5 linked regions of the Coturnix japonica genome follow. The protein of the gene in region 4 interacts with the protein of the main gene of each other region in a pairwise test. Links are inferred from orthologs where the notes say so. Each region holds a gene or a part of one and is shown on either strand. Other genes may lie near its edges.

Region 1 (3,516 bases), on a different chromosome or scaffold from region 4:
GCTCAGTCGTGATATAACAATCGAAAGCAAAAGAACAATATTTCTACTCCACAGGTATATCAGGTGAGTCCTCTGTCTGCCTGGAAAGCAAATGGGATCCTGGGCTCCATCAGGAGAGGGGTGGTCAGCAGGGATAGGGAGATGATTTCCCTCTCTACTCGGCTCTTGTGAGGCCCCATCTGGAGTACTGTGTCCAGGTGTGGAGCCCTCAGTACAAGAAAGACATGGAGATTTTGGAAAGGGTCCAGAGGAGGGCCATGAAGATGATCAAGGGGCTGGAGCACCTCCCCTATGAGGACAGGCTGGGGGAGTTGGGCTTGTTCAGCCTAGAGGAGAGAAGGTTGCGGGGTGACCTCATTGCAGCCTTTCAGTACCTGAAGGGAACTTACACCCAGGAGGGGAGTAAACTCTTCAAAAGGGCTGACAATAGCAGGACACGGGGAAATGGTTTTAAGTTGAAGGAGGGAAGATTTAGGTTGGATGTGAGGGGGAAGTTCTTCACTAGGAGAGTGGTTAGGCCCTGGAACAGGCTGCCCAGGGAGGTTGTGGATGCCCCGTCCTTGGAGGTGTTCAAGGCCAGGTTGGACAGGGCCCTGGGCAACCTGATCTAGTAAAGGTGTATGTTTGGTTGCCCTGCCAGGCAGGGGGTTGGAACTACATGATCCTTGAGGTCCCTTCCAACCTGGGTCATTCTGTGATTCTGTGAGTCACACTGAGTGTTAAAGTGTCTGTACAAACCTAGAAGCCGTCTTTCAGTGTTCTGTGTTTGTGACTAATAGCTGAGATATTTTGTTGAGAAAGATTAATTACCCATAAACATCCTTTAGCAACTGAATGCATGCACCAGTTAGAGAATTAATAGATACTGGCTGAGGTTTTTTAGTTGGTTTTATTGGAATGTTAAACAGGATCAAAGTAGTAGAGTATAACAGCAGATGAGAGCTTATCAGCTTCCAGCAAGCTGGCAGAGAAGAACATGCAGCCTTCCTTCAGATTAATTGCCTCTGCTGTTATTTCCCCTTTTGGGTTCTTGTAACCTCACCTTCAGTAATCAGTGCAAAAAGCAGCCTTGATTGTTCACTGCATTCTGCAATCTAAGAGTCTTGTGCATAAAGCTTTGAACTTCTGTATGTTTTGTGTCCTCCTAAGCCTTCAGGCAACCACTGGAAGCCACAAACAAAGCAGGAAAAGAATGGGAAAATGTAGAGCTTCATGTACCCAGCTGAATAAAATATTTACTCGTTCTACGTGTAACTTCTATAAACAGCTCTCCCTGTTCCTTCTCCCAGATTTATTTTTTTCTTTCTTACCTGAACACATCTGTTTTGGTAGTATCTATTTTTAGTTACCATAGTAGTAACATTTATAAATAGATGTTAGGAAATTGCCCTCTTTTTTACTTGGTCTTCTGTGAGGAATTACTGCGATAATTCTGGTAACTGCCTCAACCTTGGCTGTGAATAGCTGTTCCCAGTGTAGGGAAAAGAACAATAATGAGATGCTCGTTAATTCTGAATTTTAGATTCCTGTTTTTAAGATACGTGTGTTTTTGTGAGAGTGGAAGCTTTCCGTGCTATATTTTGCTTTCCTAGTCCTTTGGTTTTAGCCACTGTTATGTCTTTACTTTCTGAAATCAGTTTGCTTTTAAATGTTTTCTTGAGACTAGTCTATCTGTAGTCTCCACATAGCCAGTAAACCTAATAATGTACTACATAGAGTTTGAGATCGGAACAGGAATGGTTTTAAAGGAAATTGGTTAAACTAAACATACATGCCAAGTATATATTGTTTGTAAATCAGATATTTCAGCCGTTCTTTCATAACACAGCTCATCATTACTGTCTAAAATGTATGTACTTAATGTGTGTTCTGTAATGTACTGCAGAATACCGATACTTTTGTTTTAAAGAGATTAATGAGCTTCTACAAAGACTGTTCAATTTCCAGCATACTCTTATGAAGCATTTACATGTATTTCTCATTGTTCTTACGTAAGCAATTGTTAGAATTATTATCTAGAATAAATATCATGCTACTGGAACTATGCTTGGCTGGCTGATTATTTTCATGACAGGAGTCTGCATAACCCATCTTTCAGAGTCTACAATAATTGTCAATGGAAGTTGAACCATTTCTGATTCCAGTATCTGCTCCATTTTTTTCCTTCAAGTCTATGAATGTGTATTAGTGATAGAAAACTTAAAACGTTTTTCTTTAACTGTCTGCTCGTATTCTGAAAGCTGCTGTTTGAATTTCTGCTTTGTGATTTCAGTGCTCCCAATGGTGAAGAAGTACTAAATGAATCTGAAGTCAAATTAGATGCTGTCAGACGGAAGATTAAGCAGGTTGCACAAGAGCTAATCGGTGAAGACATGTATCAGTTCCACAGAGCTATATCTCCCGGTAAATTATTTTACAATACAGAAAGTGCTGTTTTGCACTAAACTTGATATCTTGCCTAGCAGTGGTTCTTCTTCTTCATGCAGCAGGTTTGAACATAGCACATTTCTGTGGTTATAAAGCGGGATTCAGATTCATCTTTGTCGTTAGCAGAGTTAGTTCTGATACTGGAGAGACTATTATCACACAGACTTGTTAGTGTTGCTGTTAAACAAGGATTTGCTGCAACTGGATAACTTTGTACCCTGACCTACACTAAAGCTGGGAGTGGTTCTAATGTACGTACTGGTCAGTTGTCTTTGACAGTGTGCTACATGCTCATTTACCCCAGTTGAACAGGTTGTAACTTCAGGGAGGGAGAAGGAATGACTAGCTTGTGAAATTATACCTATGTGAATTCACAAAGTTCATGGCTTAAAATCCCTAGATTAGCATTTTCTTTCTTCTAAAGACTTGGAATATGCAATTTTTATGTTTCAGTTGCATCTTTTTTGCTCTTCTTTGTGAAATAGCAATCTTTATACCATCCCTGAGACACTAAGTACCAGTGCTTTCATCACTTTTGCTGACAAAAGATACTTTTTTTGCTATGGAATATGATTCTTACCTAAAATTCTTTTGCCTTGTTTATAGCAATATATAAGTAAAGTCTGTAACTGCTTCCTTCCCATCTTGGTCATGCTATGGAAGTATCTTGTATTTACCTATCTTATGATAGATATATCGGTTTCCTGTGCATCTTTCCTTGTTCAGACAAGAATCCTTCAGTAATTCTTCAGGGGAGAGCTGCTCAGATTTAATTTTTAAAATTATTTTACTTTTATAAGCTGGTGATGAATACACCTATGAAGAAATGTAATTTACAAGACAAACAGAGCGCAAGTTAACTTTTACTTATGTATGTGAACTTAGGGTCATCTAAGAGTGAGATGCTCTTAAGTGAAAGTTCAGTTTGGCACTCCTGAACTTGCCGTACTAGTTTTCAATGGTTCTAACTCAATTCCACAGCCTGCCTGTGGTGCTACATTTGGTTATTCAATTTAAGTGTGAGCAGTTACTCGTAGGAGAGACATTTACAACCTGTGTGAATCTTGCTGCCCTCTGTCGCTTAGTATT
Region 2 (3,516 bases), on a different chromosome or scaffold from region 4:
ACCTCCTCCACTGAGGAGGATATCCCATGCTGCGGTTTGTGGGGTTGGGGGCAGAAATGGGTTCTGAGGGGCTGTGGGGTGGGAGCTCCCATTGAGCTCATGGAGAATTAGGGCACTCCTTGGGGCTCCAAAATGGTGCTGAGACATTTCTATCCTCAGGCTACTTGAGCGTCCTGGTCAACCAGTGCTGGAAGGAGCGCTGGTGCCGCCTCAAGGCCAACACCCTCTACTTCCACAAGGACCGCACCGACCTGCGCACCCACGTCAACGCCATCAACCTCCGGGGCTGTGAGGTGGTCCCAGGGCTGGGCCCCAAACACCCCTTTGCATTCCGTATCCTGCGCAGTGGGCAGGAGGTGGCTGCGTTAGAGGTGAGCAGGGCACACTTCAGCCCCTTCCCTGCAGCGGGGCTTTGTGTTTTGGGGTAGGAGTGAGGGTCACTTGAAGCCAGGCATGCTCCCCAGCCCCTTCTCTTTTTACAGGCAAGCTGCTCAGAAGATCTGGGCCGCTGGCTGGGCCTTCTCTTGGTGGAGACGGGCTCCAAGACTGCACCGGAGGCTTTACACTATGACTATGTGGATGTGGAGACGATTGCTAACATTGTGACAGCCGTCAGGCACTCCTACCTGTAAGACTTTCCTCGTGCTGTGCTAAACCACGATGAGGTGGGATGGTGGGCTTCATCCTGGGCTCTTGGGCAGGGGCACAGACTGGGATGGGGTTTTCTCAAGATCCCAGGAGATAAAAAGGACATCCCAGAGGCTGTATTTCTCAAAGCAATGCATCTTCCCTTGGGCAGGACTGAAATTAGAAGGTGCTTTTTGAGAAGTTGTGGATACCCCATTCAAGGCCAGGTTGGATGGGGCCTTGGGCAATCTGATCTAGTGTCTGATTTAGTATTTGGCAACCCTACTTGTGGCAGAAGAGTTGGAATGAGAGGATTTCTGAGGTCCTTTCCAACCCAAGACATTTTATGATTCTACGACTGCATGATTCTTTATTAATGCTGACGAAGGACCTAAGGGATTTGTTTGCTTAGATAGGGCAGGGTGAGCAGACAAAAGCAAAGCTGTGTCCCTGCCCAGAGCTGGGAGAGCAGTGAGACTAAAGAGCCCGTTATGGGGCTGGCAGGGATGTCCTGGATAGGAAGCCCATGGCACATTCATCCCTTGTCCCACAGGTGGGCCAGCAGCTCCCAGGACAGCCGACCTGACTCCTCCCGTGTGGTGTACGATGATGTCCCCTATGAAAAGGTTCAGGTGAGCGTGACTCAGGGCCTTACCACGTCCCACCGCTGTGAAGGAGATGTCCTGGGGATGCTCGGTGGGTCGTGGCAGCCCCATAGATGTTTCAGTATGCTTTCCTGTCCCCGCTGCAGGCTGAGGAGGAGTCAGGACGGCCAGCGGGAGCCCAGGTGAAGCGCCATGCCTCCTCCTGCAGCGAGAAGTCGCGGCGAATTGACCCACAGGTCAAAGTGAAGAGACACGCATCAAGTGAGTGGGGGTCTGCCAGGGGACACTCAGAGTGGAGGAAGCCCCTGGCCTCTGTGTGGAGGCTGATCCCACCAGGGGGTCCTGGGTTGGGCTGTGCCAGCACAGTGGGACCATGAGGGGTATCCTTGCAGTTCATGTTGGGCTCAGGTGGGGCTTTCTTAGGCTGGAGTCATTGTGACTGGCTCTCTTTGTACATGCAGATGCCAACCAGTACAGGTATGGGAAGAACCGGGCTGAGGAGGATGCCAGGCGTTTTCTGACAGAGAAGGATAAGCTGGAGAAGGAAAAAGCAGCAATCCGCAGTGAGCTGGTACTGCTGCGGAAAGAGAGGAGAGAGCTGCGGGAAGCCATGAAAAGCAGCTCAGGTAGGTTGCATACTGTGGCTGAGGATGCTCAAAGGCACCCGGGTACGATGGGAAGGGCCCAGATGGGAATGCAAGGCTTGCAGTGTGGCTGTGACACTTGTGACCATGCTCAGGCTTGGCTGCAGCACACTGCTTGGCCAGCAGCCCCATCTAGTGTCACTACCCAAGAGAATGGATGACTGCCCGGCCTTGGTAACCTCAGCCACTGAACCAGGTACTTATGTGTCCAGGAGTGAAGCTGCAGGACCTGGAGCAGCGTGTGGCTTTGTTGGAGGAGCAGTGCCGGCAGAAGGAGGAGCGCCGCGTCGACCTGGAGCTCCAGCTAAGCGAAGTGAAGGAGCAGCTGAAGCAGTCGTTGGCAGGAGGGCCGGCCCTGGGGCTGGCTGTGACTGGCAAGGCTGAGAATGGGGTACGCACCTCTTTTTCCTTGCTCCTCTGGCACCTGCAAAGGGGTTTGGGGAGGGAATAAGCAGCAGTGGGGATGAGAAGACACCCCTGATCTTTATCACATTGCTGTTAGAGGTAGGAAGCAAAGCACTGACGTAAGCTTTGACTCCATGACGGTTTGTGCTTTCCTGGCACTTTCTGCTCCTTAGGTTTTGTATATCCTTCTTTTCCACAGGAAGCTACAAACAAGCCAAATGGGAGCCCCCCTGAGCACTTGGTTCCTGTTAACAGCGCAGCTGAACTGAGAAAGAGAAGCCCTTCCATCCTTCCTGCCAACAAGGGCAATGTGCTGAGGAAAGCCAAGGTCCTGCTTCATTCCTCCTCTCTTCCCTGGCTCCTAAGGAAATCTCAGTTTTTCATCCTGTCCCCATATATGACCAAGAATTTGGGGGACTGTGGATGCTCCTTACTCCAAACACAAGGGATGCAGCCTGGGTTGCATCTGGGCTGGTTCCCTTCAGTGGCAGAGGCTACTGATGTGAACTTACCCTGCAGGAGATTTGAGGGGCCCAGGGCTGGGTGGGCAGCAGTGAAAGTATTACCTCTTCAATGCCCACGGCAGCACTCACCAGCCTTTGGAGATGCTGGGGTGGTCCAAAGCCCCCGGGAGGGAAGGAGACACTCAAAGGGCTCAGTGCTCACTCCTCCAGCCTCTGATATCTCTTCATCCCCCTCTTTTTTTTTCTTTTCTCTTGCAGGAATGGGAAAAGAAGCAGACTTAAAGCAAGCAGTGGGAACATCTGCCAGGCTCCAATGGACACTGTGGCCCACTGAGGAGCTACAAGGCCCCACTCTCCCAGGCGTGGGGAGAAGTGCCCTCCCTTGCCCCTCTGCTACAGCACCTGCCACATGGGCAACACTATGGACTGTAGGGGAGGGGATTTACACAGAGGGGGGGGTGAGGCGCTGGAACAGGCTGCCCAGAGAAGCTGTGGATGCCCCATCTTTGGAGGCATTCAGCGCCAGGTGGGATGGGATCCTGGGCAGCCTGATCTAGAGGTTGGCAACTCTGCCCATGGTGGGGGGGGGGGTTAGGGTTAGGACGATCTTTAAGGTCCCCTCCAACCTAAGCCATCCTATGACTGGGGAGGCAGGTGGGGAACAGGAGTCCTTTGGTGATCAGGGTCATGTATTACTGGGGAACCTATCTCTGTGGCCAGGAGCTTGGCACAAGGCACATACCTGTGTGACACAGACAGCACGTGGGACAG
Region 3 (4,006 bases), on a different chromosome or scaffold from region 4:
ATAGTAAGAGGCTCAGACCCACTGAACTTCCCAGGCTTCTGAACCGGCCCTAAGATGAATCCCTGCCTCATGCAGTGTGTTGTTCTCTGCTCCTCTGCAGCATATTCAGGAGGGATTGAAAGGCGTGGGCAGTGCAGGCCTAGGCACCACGGCTGTCACAGGCAGGAGTGTTTCTCACTGTTCAGGTTTCAAAGCCCAAAGTTGCCCTCTGTGCTCTGACAGGAGCGGTTTGCTCCCAGCACCATCAGCTCAGTCCCAGCTCTGTGGGGGTGCTGGGCACACATGGCTGGGGCCGCAGAGCTGTGCTGGGAGCACAGGGACACAGGGAGTGTCCTTAGCACAGCCTGCACCTCTCAGAGGCCTTGGGAAAACCTCCCGGGTGGGTCAGTGCTGTCAGCGCTGCAGAGCCCAGAGCTGAGCCCGGAGCTGGGCCCACACAGCGCTGAGGAGCTCTGCTGGGCAGCAGCTGCTGCGCGGCCACGCACAGAGCTGTGACACGCCACTTTTCTTTGCAGTTTGTCCACATCAACAACCTGAAGCTCATCTGCAGAGCACATCAGCTGGTTCACGAAGGCTACAAATTCATGTTTGACGAGAAGTTGGTAACGGTGTGGTCAGCTCCCAATTACTGCTATCGCTGCGGGAACATCGCTTCCATCATGGTCTTCCAGGACGTAAATACGAGAGAACCGAGGCTGTTCCGCGCCGTCCCAGACTCAGAGCGGGTGATCCCTCCCCGGACAACCACCCCCTACTTCCTCTGAGCCGCCCCCGCCCTACAATATACTTTTTATTGAGCACTTTGCTGCTGAGATGCCGCCTCTGCCTTTTATCTTTAACTTATCGCCGTTCGTTGTCATTGCGCTGCGCAGCCGTTTCCCCGCCCTCCCCCGGATCCATTTGTGCGGATCCGAACCGCTCGTTGTTCGTTTCTCCGCTGAGCGGCGCCGTTCGGCTGCTCCCGGTGCTCCGTGCGGCTCCGTTCGTCTCCCGTAGATGTACGAGATTTCAGCAGCAAAGTTCCGCGGCCGTTGGTGCCGCCGCCCACTTTGTAATTAAAGGCTCGTTGTGGTTTTTCAGCGCCGTGTCGCTCCGTGGCGCCGGACGGGACGGGACGGGACGGGACGGGACGGGGGGGCGCACTCCGCTCCGCTCCTTCCTGCTCCGGGCGGGGCGGGCTCCGCGCTTCCGGTTCCGGCGGAGCGGCGGGGGAGGTTCCGGTTCCGACGGTTCCGGTTCCGTCGGCATGGCGCGGAGCACGCTCTCGTCCCGCTTCCGCCGCCTGGACATCGATCAGTACGACGAGAACCGCTTCGTGGAGGAGCCCGAGGAGGCGGCGGCGGCCGAACCCGACGCGAGCCCCGAGGTGGAGGCGCTGCTGAGGCAGTATCCTTCATGGCGGCACGGCCACCGAGCGCTGCCCGCGGGGCCTCGGGAAGGTTTGCGGGGCGGGAGCGCGGCCTGAGGCTGCTCGGTACTGCCCGGTGCTGCCCGGTATCGCCCGGTACTGCTCGGTACTGCTCGGTACTGCCCCGTACTGCCCGGTACTGCCCGGTGCTGGCTGGTATCGCCCGGTGCTGCCCGGTATCGCCCGGTGCCGCTCGGTGCTGCCCGGTGCTGCCCGGTGCTGCTCGGTGCTGCTTGGTGCTGCCCTCCGTGCTGCCCCCGGTCCCGTCCCTCCCCGCTGCCGTTGTGTGGCCGTAGTTCAGGTACCCGCTTTGCAGCGCCCTCCTCCCCTGCCCCCTCCCCTTATCGCTCCGTCCCGGTGCTCCCGGTGCCGCCGTTGCTCCTTGACTCTCGCCGTAGAGGCGAAGCGCTGCGCGCGCTGCACGCGGCCCTAAGGAACAACCCCGCACAGACGCGCAGCGCGGCCATGAAGGTGAGTGCGGCCCCGGGACCGGTAACGAGCGGCGCCCCCGGCGCTGACCTTGTGCTCCATGGCACCTCCCGTCCGTCTGCTCTTGAAGGACGGCGCTGCGGTTTGTGTGCGGGTGTCGCGGTGCTGCTGTAGGACGGCCCGGTGCTGCTGTGTGCCCGGGGAGCGGCCCGTGCTGTGGGGAAACGCGGCCGGCAGCAGCCGGGGGCTGAGAGGGAGCACAGAGCACAGCCCAGGGGATCTTGTGCTGCAGGAGCCGGACGTTGTTCGTTGTTCTCGGGCTGTAGGTTTGTTCTGCAGTGCAGTTCAGGTGGTTCCCCCCAGGTGGGAACACCAACAAGTCCAGTTTTAAAGCTCTCTGCTCTTCTTCCTTCTCACTACTGAAACTTAAAGTGTAAAACTTCCTCCTGTTTGGCTGCTGCATCTTCACACCATCAGCGCAGCCGCTGCTCCGAGTGCTTTGCTGCACTTGGGGTCACATCCAGCTTTGCTGATCCTAATGCCGTTTTCCTTCCTGTGCAGGAGCAGGCGCAGGGCACCATGCTCAGAGTCCTCACGTCTTTTAAGAGCAGTGAAATTGAACAAGCGGTGAACTCCTTAGACAGAAACGGGATTGACTTGTTAATGAAGTATATTTATAAAGGATTTGAAAAGCCGACAGAAAATAGCAGTGCAATATTACTCCAATGGCATGAAAAGGTGAGTGTTTGCTCTGGGCTCTGTTGTCACTGTCGGTGCTTTCAGGACCTCCTGGATGGGGAGGTGTGCGATGAGGGGGATCCTCCCTGAGGAGCAGAGCTCGGTGCTGCCTTTTGTTCTTGGCCTCTTGGTGTTGGGCGTATGGAGTTTCTGTGGTACTTCAGAGCTCTCCTCAGCCTGGAGGGATGGGAGGGGTGGGTGTGGCAGAGCAGCGTCAGCTGCAGGAAGGTTTATGACTTGTGTCTGGTGGTGGTTTCCCCCACAAGGAGCAGCAGCTGGGAGTGGAGGTGAGATTGATTGATTGATTGATTGAAGGTGCCTTTGGCTCATGGGGTGCCCAGGATGGCTCAGATGTGATGCTTTTTGTCAGTGAAACGCTGTGCTGAAGTACATCCGAGCTGACCAGTTATAGCAAACCTGCTCAGTTTGCACAGTAAAGGCTTTGATGCCTCAGTGGCACTTAGTGGCGTTTCTGTGGCAGGGTCGCAGCGAGGGGGGCTGTATGTGCTGTGCTCACAGCTGGCTGCTGGCCGGTCATTTGCACAGGGCGTGCTTCCTTGTGATGAGTTAAAACAAGTTGTGCAATGGTGACTCCAGCTCCTGGCAGCTGTCCCCAGCCTTGCAGAATATCGATAGGCAGGAGGGGGAGGAAATTGCACAGGAAGGAACATGTTTGTGCTTGACATTTTGTGTTGTTCTTCCTACTGGAGGCTCTTTTTGGGTCACCGTAGGTTGATACTCCCAGTACGTAACATTACACAAGACTGCCCTGACTGGAAAGAAGTCACTGCTCAGAACACGTAGACACGTGCAAGCATCTCTTCCCCTTTGTTTTCAAAGGAAAGCTGCAGTTGTGCAGTGTGCAGGGAGCTGCTTAGAGCTTTGTGTTCTGCTTTCCAGCAGTGCAGGCAGGACGTGCAGCTCACTCTGACTGTGGGCAGCAGCTCAGCAGCACCTGCCTGGCCCCTGGAAGGGCCTGATGCCATTTCTGCATCCGTCAGGTCTAATCTGAGCAGCTCCTCTGCGGCCCTCACTTACATGCATCTCCTCCTAGACTTTAGAAGAATGTTTCATTTTTATTAAGGATGCAAATGAAACCAGACTAAGCCCTTCCTCCTTTCCCCATTCAGGAGCAGGAGTGTAAGGTATTCTGCATCATCGGTGTCCTTCACTAGATGCAAGTCAGTTCATAAGGTTTTGTGTACTTTAGCCTTCAGATGTGGTGGGATGTGTTACAATGAGCTGTTTTGTCCACCCTTCATTTCCTTGCTTCTTAGATTTATAGCATGTTTAGAGAGTAGCGCTGTGTATGTACTGCAAAAACCTGGGTCAAAGAAGGAGCTCATCTGTACGTTCAGAGAGGACAGGGGGCATAGAGCTCCCGAGTTCATGGCCCAAGACAGGAACAGGCAAGGAGCTGAAATGTGGCAA
Region 4 (3,569 bases):
TGGCAAAATGTGCTTCATGGTGCCTGCGTGGCACTGATGTGTGGTGGGCCCACCCTGATACTGAATGACCTGAAGCACTCAGCAGCAGAGCTACCCAGGACGTGGTGCTGTCAGTTCTCCACCAGACAAAAGAACTGTCTGCAGCACAGAGTCTGCTGGAGTCTGTGGCTGCAGGGCACTGGGCTTGTGGGCAGAAATGGGAATTTGTGTGTTAAAGGTCTGTGGCTGCACACTGGGGCTGCTCTGAAATTAATGCCTCCCATTTTGTCAGCCCATGACATCAGAGGTGGAAGGTGGTAGTAGAGGTTGGACCTTCCCACCAACACTGCATTGCATTTTGTTGCTATGTGACAGCAGAGGGGCAGTCTGACAGAACAGTGTCTGACATGGAAGTGTGTATGGAGCAAAGCTGTGTCACTGAATTCCTCCATGCTGAAAAAATGGCACCTATCGACATTCATAGATGTTTGCTTATAGAGACCAAACAGTGGATGTGATCACAGTAAGGCAGTAGGTGGTGTGTTTCAGCAGTGGTGACAGTGATAGGTGGGTCATCTATCATAAAATCACAGAATGCTTCGAGCTGGAAGGGACCACAAAAGCCATCCAGTTCCAATCCCATGGGCAGTTTGTCAACCACCAGATCAGACTGCCCAAGGCCCCACCCATCTGGCCTTGAATGTCTCCAAGGATGGGGCATCTAGACCTTCTCTGAGCAAGGTCAGCTGGCGTAGATGTTTACGAACATGAGATGAAGGCTCTTGTTCACTGCTGGTGAAAATGAAAAGCTAAAGATGGTGACTATTGAAAATATGTGTTTTGAAGCTGAGAATTTGCTCCATCAAACAGTGCTATTGCACTCTTTGTTGTAATTTCTACGGAAATAAAGAGGAGTGACCTATGTACCTGGAAGAACAGATTAAGGTGATGCACACTGACCCCGTAGCAGCAGCTCAAGTCATGCCATTTAAGGGAGTGCAGCAGGTAGCAATGCAGACTTTCAAGCTGAGAATGCCTTTGAGCACTCATAGAATCACAATGGCTGCAAAAGACCTGAGATCACCAAGCCCCACCGCCAACCCACCCCCACCACGAGCACTAACCCAAGTCCCTCAACGCTTCATTCACACGATTAATGAACACCGCCAGAGATGGTGACTCCCCCACCTCCCGAGCAGCCTCAGCACAACTGTTAAGAAGGAACCCTCCTACCCCAGCATCCCCAAGGCAGCAGCACGGTGCCACGCAGCAGCTGTGGGCCCCCTCCCGGCACACGCCTTCCCCGTGCCCGCGGATCACGCCACCACGCCGCGGCCGTGGCCGCCCTCCCTGCGCCACCACGTGTCCCCCCGGCACGAGCCGCCCCCACCTCCCGCCCGGCGTGCGGCCATTAGCATGACAAAGCGCTCCCCCGGCTCCCCGTCCGCCAATGGGAACGCACCGGCCGCCGCCAGCTGCCAGCGCCGGAGCTCCGCGGGCTTAAAAGGAGCAGGAGCCGCTGGAGCTGCGGCAGGACGTGGGTATTGGGTTGTTGGGAGGAGCTGGGGGTTATCGGTGACAGCGCTGCTTGGCGACACGCTGCTATGACTCTGGAAGAGGCGCAAGGACAGGAGCCGGTGCCCGCGGGCAAGGACTGGTAGGCGGTTGGCTGGGAGGTGGGGTGGCCGTTGTCCGGGCGCTGGTGACGTGCTGACCGCTCTCTCCGGCTTCCAGGATGCAGGGCGCCGGCAAGGCCCTCCACGAGCTGCTGGTGTCGGCGCAGCGCCGCGGCTGCCTCACTGCCGGCGTCTACGAGTCGGCCAAGCTTATGAACGTGTGAGTGGGGTGAGGGGGGGCGGGCAGCGCGAGTGGGGCGAGGGGCAAGGAAGCCCTACTAGGGCCTAACGGTGCTCGCCACCCGCAGGGACCCAGATAACGTGGCGTTCTGCGTGCTGGCGGCCGATGAGGAGGACGAGGGGGACATCGCCCTACAGATCCACTTCACCCTCATCCAGGCCTTCTGTTGCGAGAATGACATCGACATCGTGCGTGTGAACGACCTACCCAAGCTGGCTGCTGCCGTGGGATCCAACGAAGAGTCTGGTGAGCCCAGAGACCTGCACTGCATCCTCATTACGGTGCGTGGCTGGGACTGGGAGGGATGGAGCTCTGTGGGCTGGCCGGGCTTAGCCCTTGGGGTGCAGAACTGCTGAGATACAGGGGGCGGTGCTTCTGTAAAGGGGGTTTCACTGCCACCCACATTGGTGACAGCTCAGCTTCCTGCTCTTTGTCTCTGAAAATGCTTTGCTTTTTAAGCTAGTGCTTCTGTAAAATAATACTGTGACTTTGTGCACTCATGGTGTGCGATGCTTTTCTACCAGAACTCAAATGAAGATGGCTGGAAGGATCCAGCTTTAGAGAAGCTGAACTGCTTCTGTGAAGAAAGCCGGAACGTCAATGAGTGGGTGCCAACTATTGTCTTACCTGAGTGACTATGGCCTGGCATGCTGGGGAGGCTGAAACCTCTGTTGCATTCTCAACGTGGTGTTGGTTCACCGAAGTGTGCAACAAGCTGCTGATTCCATGGATTAGCCTGGTCAAGGGACTGGATTACAGTCACTCAGACTGGCATGCTGTGGGCTCTTACAGAGGAGAAAGGAAAAGAATAGCTCACCTCATCAGTGGGTGTCAGTAGACTGCAGCTGTGTGGAAGATAATGTACTATGGAACTGAAACGAGTATTGCAAGTTTCCTGGTCAAGTGGATCTGTTTCAGAAAGCAGAGAAAGTTAGGGGAAGTGGTCCAAAACTTCACAGGATTGAACAGTACTGTGACTATAAGCTGTTGGTGCTGTCTACAAAACATGAAGAGAAGCAAGCTTCAGTACTTCTTGGACTTTTAGAGACTAATTATCAAGGCAAATACAGACACTCTTAAAGCAGACAGACTTCAACAGGCCTCTGGGCCAGTGTACTGGTTTAATAATGCAATAGTTTTTTTGTTTTTTTGTTGTTTTTTTTTTTTTTAAACGTTTGCTGCTATGGAAGCTTTCATAATAAATTTTTGACACTTAATTTCTGTGAGTATCTGGCTTACTGGGTGGGGAAGCATGTCACTGCAATACCACTGCTGCTTTGCTCATGTACTGTAGTCAAAGGTATACTCAACAGTAATAGGGATGTTGCTCACATGCTTTCTCTCTGGGCCCAGCTGGATCACAAGTGTGCTTCCCAAGTTGATAATCCAGCTTTTCACCCTCTGCAACAGCTTGCGAGACTAAAGAGCTGCATACTTAATGAGCTCATTTATTGTAGTATGTTGTCTTTGCGGTCTGCTAGGGGATCACAGTCCATGCTAGAAACATGGATACTGGGAACACGAATCTCCAGTAAATAGCATCATTACATGTTAAATGAGTTACTCATTTGGAGCTATAGAGGTTTCTACATGGCAGAAGCAGCTCAAATGTGATGGTGACCTGAAGGTCTCCTTAGATGTCAAATACATGTAGTGTTTACTTTGATTAGACTTAGTTAGTTAGACCAAAAACTAATAGTGAATAAACATGACATTTGCTATGAACTGCTCTC
Region 5 (3,334 bases), on a different chromosome or scaffold from region 4:
GAAACAGTAAGAGAACCATGAATCTCTCCATGTATGCAAAAGCCTTATTTTACTAAAAACCCTAATGGCAATTTGTTATTTTTCCACAAGTTGCATTTAAGACATGTAAGCCAAATTAAAGACAGATTATCAAAGGTCTAACATTCTTATTAGTTACTTAAAACACCAGGTACACTGCACAACATCCAGTAAATGCAAAGTCCAACTAGTAAACTAATGAATTAAAAGAAGCAACGAGGGCGTCAACTATCCTGAAGGTCATAAGCATCAAAGGAAGATGACCAAAGATCAGTTTTCTATACATCATCACTTTCAGACTGCTGAAATCAGTTCATATTTGCATTATGGTTGATAATTCCAACAAAGCACAATTTAACACCTCTCATATCTAATCCTCACTGTAACCTGAACTGGCTTTTTTTAATATCCAAGATCAGGCCCATGTTGCTACATCTGGCATTCATAGGCTTGCAAAGTTAGGGACCAAAAGTCAACAACTGAAATGCTATTTTTCACAGATATTAATTCAAATGCTACCACTTGGCATCATAAAGCCCTCATGAAAAAAGTCTACTTGAACAGTTTTTTGGAAGTGAGGAAGAGGTCCTACAGTCTACTGCAATGAATAAATGCCTGAAATGTGCATACGCACACTTATCTGACATTTCTCTTTGGTCTGATTCTTCACCTGGAGGCAAAATCCTCCTGTCTTTGCGAGCAATTGAAATGTTGACTTCCAATCCCTCATAAGTACAGAGTTTGAGGAATTTGCAGATATTTGAGATATTTCTTACATTATGATTTTAAAAGAATACATAGGCAGTCAAAAGGGGGACAGCATTGTTGCCATTAAAGATCAAGCCATAAGACAAAGGATCCCACTTGCATCCCAGCGTGAAAGAAAGGAAAAGCAGCTCTTGCCTTTGGCTCTATCAGCAAGCAGAAACTGGAGGAGGAACACCAGTTTGTCTCAAAATGACAACCTCTGCTTGCCTGCCCTGTCTTCCTTTCACATCATTTCAAGCTTCCCTACTTCACAGCCAATGGCCATGCTGTGAGTGATGCTATGTTAAAAAGCAGAGAGCAACCAGAGCTCCAGTGCTGAACAGCTTGCCCATACTCTCATGTGCCACAACTAATATTGCGAAGAAACAAACAGACATCTTGTCCCTGCCTTTTTTTTTTTTCTTTATGCCTTTTCCCATTTGCACAGAGCAATTTTACTGGGAAAAAAAAATAATCTTTCTTGAATTAAAAAAATAAAATATCACACTTTAGACCATCATTTCTGGTGACAGGTTACCAGGTAAGAACAGTCCATCAACTTATGAGAAAGCCATTTCACTTAAACAGACCCAGGAGCATATAACAATTTAGCAGAGACTGAGATTGGTCACGTTTATTGGAGTTACCTTTTGCAAGTCTTCACTGAAAGCACACTCGTGTTCAGACTGAGGTAAAACAGCACTTGCTGCTTTTGGGGAATGAATCATTTCCTTGCCATCTTGGCATGTATTTTCCTGCATCCCTAATGCCGTAACTGGGGTCATTCCACTTGAGATGCTCTCCATGAAGGGCAAACTCTTTCCCTGGTTTACAGTGGAACTCTCCTCCTCAACACTTGGAGTCACCAGAGCTGCAGGTGCAGATTTTAAGTCATTTCTTAAATCTCCAGGTGAAGAAACATTAGAGTTTGTATGCACTTTAGGATCTTCCTGAGGTAACAGCATTCCTTTGCTTTTGGACCATAACAGATTCACCACTTTGTTGCTTATTTTAGCGACTTCAGTAGAATCAATTAGTTTGGATGTTGCCTTTTTAAGCGAAGCACCACATGAGGAAGATGTCTGCATGTCAGCTTGGGCCGTCAAAACATCAGAGCCTCTCCTGGTCAATAAATAGACTTTCCCATTATACATGACCAGAGCATTTTCCTTAATGGATGTGATTTTTGTCTGGCTTACACCAGAACCACTAGTACAGAGTGCCAAAATATTTGCAGAGCTAGCTTCTACATTCTTCATATCTGACAGAGTTTTCAAGATCTTGGAAGCCACGTTATTTGATGACTTTACAGGAACAAGGCAAGGCGCTGGCAACTGTGGACCTTCTTGCACAATCCATTTCATTGGTGTATGCTGGCACTGCTGACCATCACACGTTCCTGTCTCAGGAGAAGAGCTACATGCCTCTTGTGGAGATGTCATTAGCAACGTTTTTGAAACATCTGGGGCAGGTTTGGGGTCAACAGCTTGCAAACGCTTGGGAACTGCTGTTTTCACTGCGTTCACGGGTGACACATAAATCACAGTTGGCATTTTTTTACTATCAGCTCCATCAGACACATTTGTTGCTGCAGCGGCAAGTATTTTTTGCTGGATTGAAGCTGGTAAAAAAGAAGCTGGAATATATTTCACTTCCGCATCTGCTGGTATCTGGAGGTGGTGGCCAGAGGGCAGTACTGGAGGCTTCACAGAAATGGGATTATCTTTTCTGTTTACTGACACGCATGCGGTGTGACTCTGTTCAGATGAACTTGTTATGGCAGCGTTCTGCAAAGACTGTCTATCAACTGAAACACAACTACTCTGGACATCAGCAGCTGATTCTGTCATCAAGCTTTCTTTATCAGAACCTGCTCTAACACCTCCCTGTTTGTCTAAAGTCCTTGCAAGGATAATCTTTCCAGAATTAGGAGACTGAAAAACAGGTATCGTAACAGATGAAGGTGCAGCAGTACTGGCAAGCTGTGTCTTAAAAGCAAGATGAACTGGACTAGTAACATTCATATTAGGATTATTTGACATGGCCGAAGACTGAACTATTGGCACAAAGTTTCCAGATGATTTAGAAATTGGGAGTAATTTCAGAAGGTTTTTTCCATCTGGTCCCGTCGTCTGAACTACTCGGTACATACAGCCTGCAATGCTTAACAAAACAAAGAAAGGAGATAAGAAAGGAAAAAAAGAAAAAAAAGAAGAAAAAAAAAGAAAAAAAAGAAAGTATAAGTGAACACAGAACAGCTAATTTAATTAATGTCCATCAGTGAATTGCACATCCAGTGCTGCTATGCCTTAGAAACAGACTGACTACCAAAAAAAAAATCCAGATCTGATTTTCAACAACTTCAGAGGCAAAAATTTGATCATACTGTACGTTTGGGGTTAGCATTTCAGAGCACCAGACTGCACATAACATCCAGCAATTACACCATGGAGAAGCAAGAAAGAGCATCCTTCTCAGAAACCAGTGAGTTTAAAGACCCAAGGAAACAAATTATCTTCCTCTTCTGCTCAGCTATCTCCAGCTTTCACAGAATAGCCTTTTTTTTGCT

What was found.
Region 1: the proteins of GADD45G (region 4) and TSNAX interact in binary tests that used the Homo sapiens proteins (3 or more experiments, as listed by UniProt). The two-hybrid records come from large-scale screens. The link is inferred for Coturnix japonica from reciprocal best matches to the Homo sapiens genes GADD45G and TSNAX.
Region 2: the proteins of GADD45G (region 4) and AFAP1L1 interact in binary tests that used the Homo sapiens proteins (3 or more experiments, as listed by UniProt). The two-hybrid records come from large-scale screens. The link is inferred for Coturnix japonica from reciprocal best matches to the Homo sapiens genes GADD45G and AFAP1L1.
Region 3: the proteins of GADD45G (region 4) and ARPC5L interact in binary tests that used the Homo sapiens proteins (3 or more experiments, as listed by UniProt). The link is inferred for Coturnix japonica from reciprocal best matches to the Homo sapiens genes GADD45G and ARPC5L.
Region 5: the proteins of GADD45G (region 4) and LRIF1 interact in binary tests that used the Homo sapiens proteins (3 or more experiments, as listed by UniProt). The link is inferred for Coturnix japonica from reciprocal best matches to the Homo sapiens genes GADD45G and LRIF1.

Annotation. Positions count from the first base shown.
Region 1 is NC_029518.1:35,684,654-35,688,169, reverse strand, and holds part of TSNAX (translin-associated protein X), read left to right. Parts: coding exon 1-63; intron 64-2,272; coding exon 2,273-2,403; intron 2,404-3,516.
Region 2 is NC_029528.1:10,486,780-10,490,295, reverse strand, and holds part of AFAP1L1 (actin filament-associated protein 1-like 1), read left to right. Parts: coding exon 1-34; intron 35-159; coding exon 160-371; intron 372-482; coding exon 483-628; intron 629-1,180; coding exon 1,181-1,259; intron 1,260-1,378; coding exon 1,379-1,493; intron 1,494-1,693; coding exon 1,694-1,858; intron 1,859-2,088; coding exon 2,089-2,267; intron 2,268-2,480; coding exon 2,481-2,609; intron 2,610-3,003; coding exon 3,004-3,027; 3' UTR 3,028-3,516. UniProt on the Homo sapiens protein: May be involved in podosome and invadosome formation.
Region 3 is NC_029532.1:8,069,282-8,073,287, reverse strand, and holds the start of ARPC5L (actin-related protein 2/3 complex subunit 5-like protein), read left to right. Parts: upstream 1-1,198; 5' UTR 1,199-1,246; coding exon 1,247-1,386; intron 1,387-1,806; coding exon 1,807-1,879; intron 1,880-2,398; coding exon 2,399-2,575; intron 2,576-4,006. Other genes in the region: PPP6C (serine/threonine-protein phosphatase 6 catalytic subunit), read left to right, coding at 516-764. UniProt on the Homo sapiens protein: May function as component of the Arp2/3 complex which is involved in regulation of actin polymerization and together with an activating nucleation-promoting factor (NPF) mediates the formation of branched actin networks.
Region 4 is NC_029547.1:39,082,532-39,086,100, forward strand, and holds GADD45G (growth arrest and DNA damage-inducible protein GADD45 gamma), read left to right. Parts: upstream 1-1,357; 5' UTR 1,358-1,583; coding exon 1,584-1,636; intron 1,637-1,713; coding exon 1,714-1,815; intron 1,816-1,903; coding exon 1,904-2,117; intron 2,118-2,360; coding exon 2,361-2,471; 3' UTR 2,472-3,053; downstream 3,054-3,569. UniProt on the Homo sapiens protein: Involved in the regulation of growth and apoptosis. Mediates activation of stress-responsive MTK1/MEKK4 MAPKKK.
Region 5 is NC_029541.1:1,449,727-1,453,060, forward strand, and holds part of LRIF1 (ligand-dependent nuclear receptor-interacting factor 1), read right to left. Parts: intron 2,929-3,334; 5' UTR 2,916-2,928; coding exon 1,413-2,915; intron 1-1,412. UniProt on the Homo sapiens protein: Together with SMCHD1, involved in chromosome X inactivation in females by promoting the compaction of heterochromatin.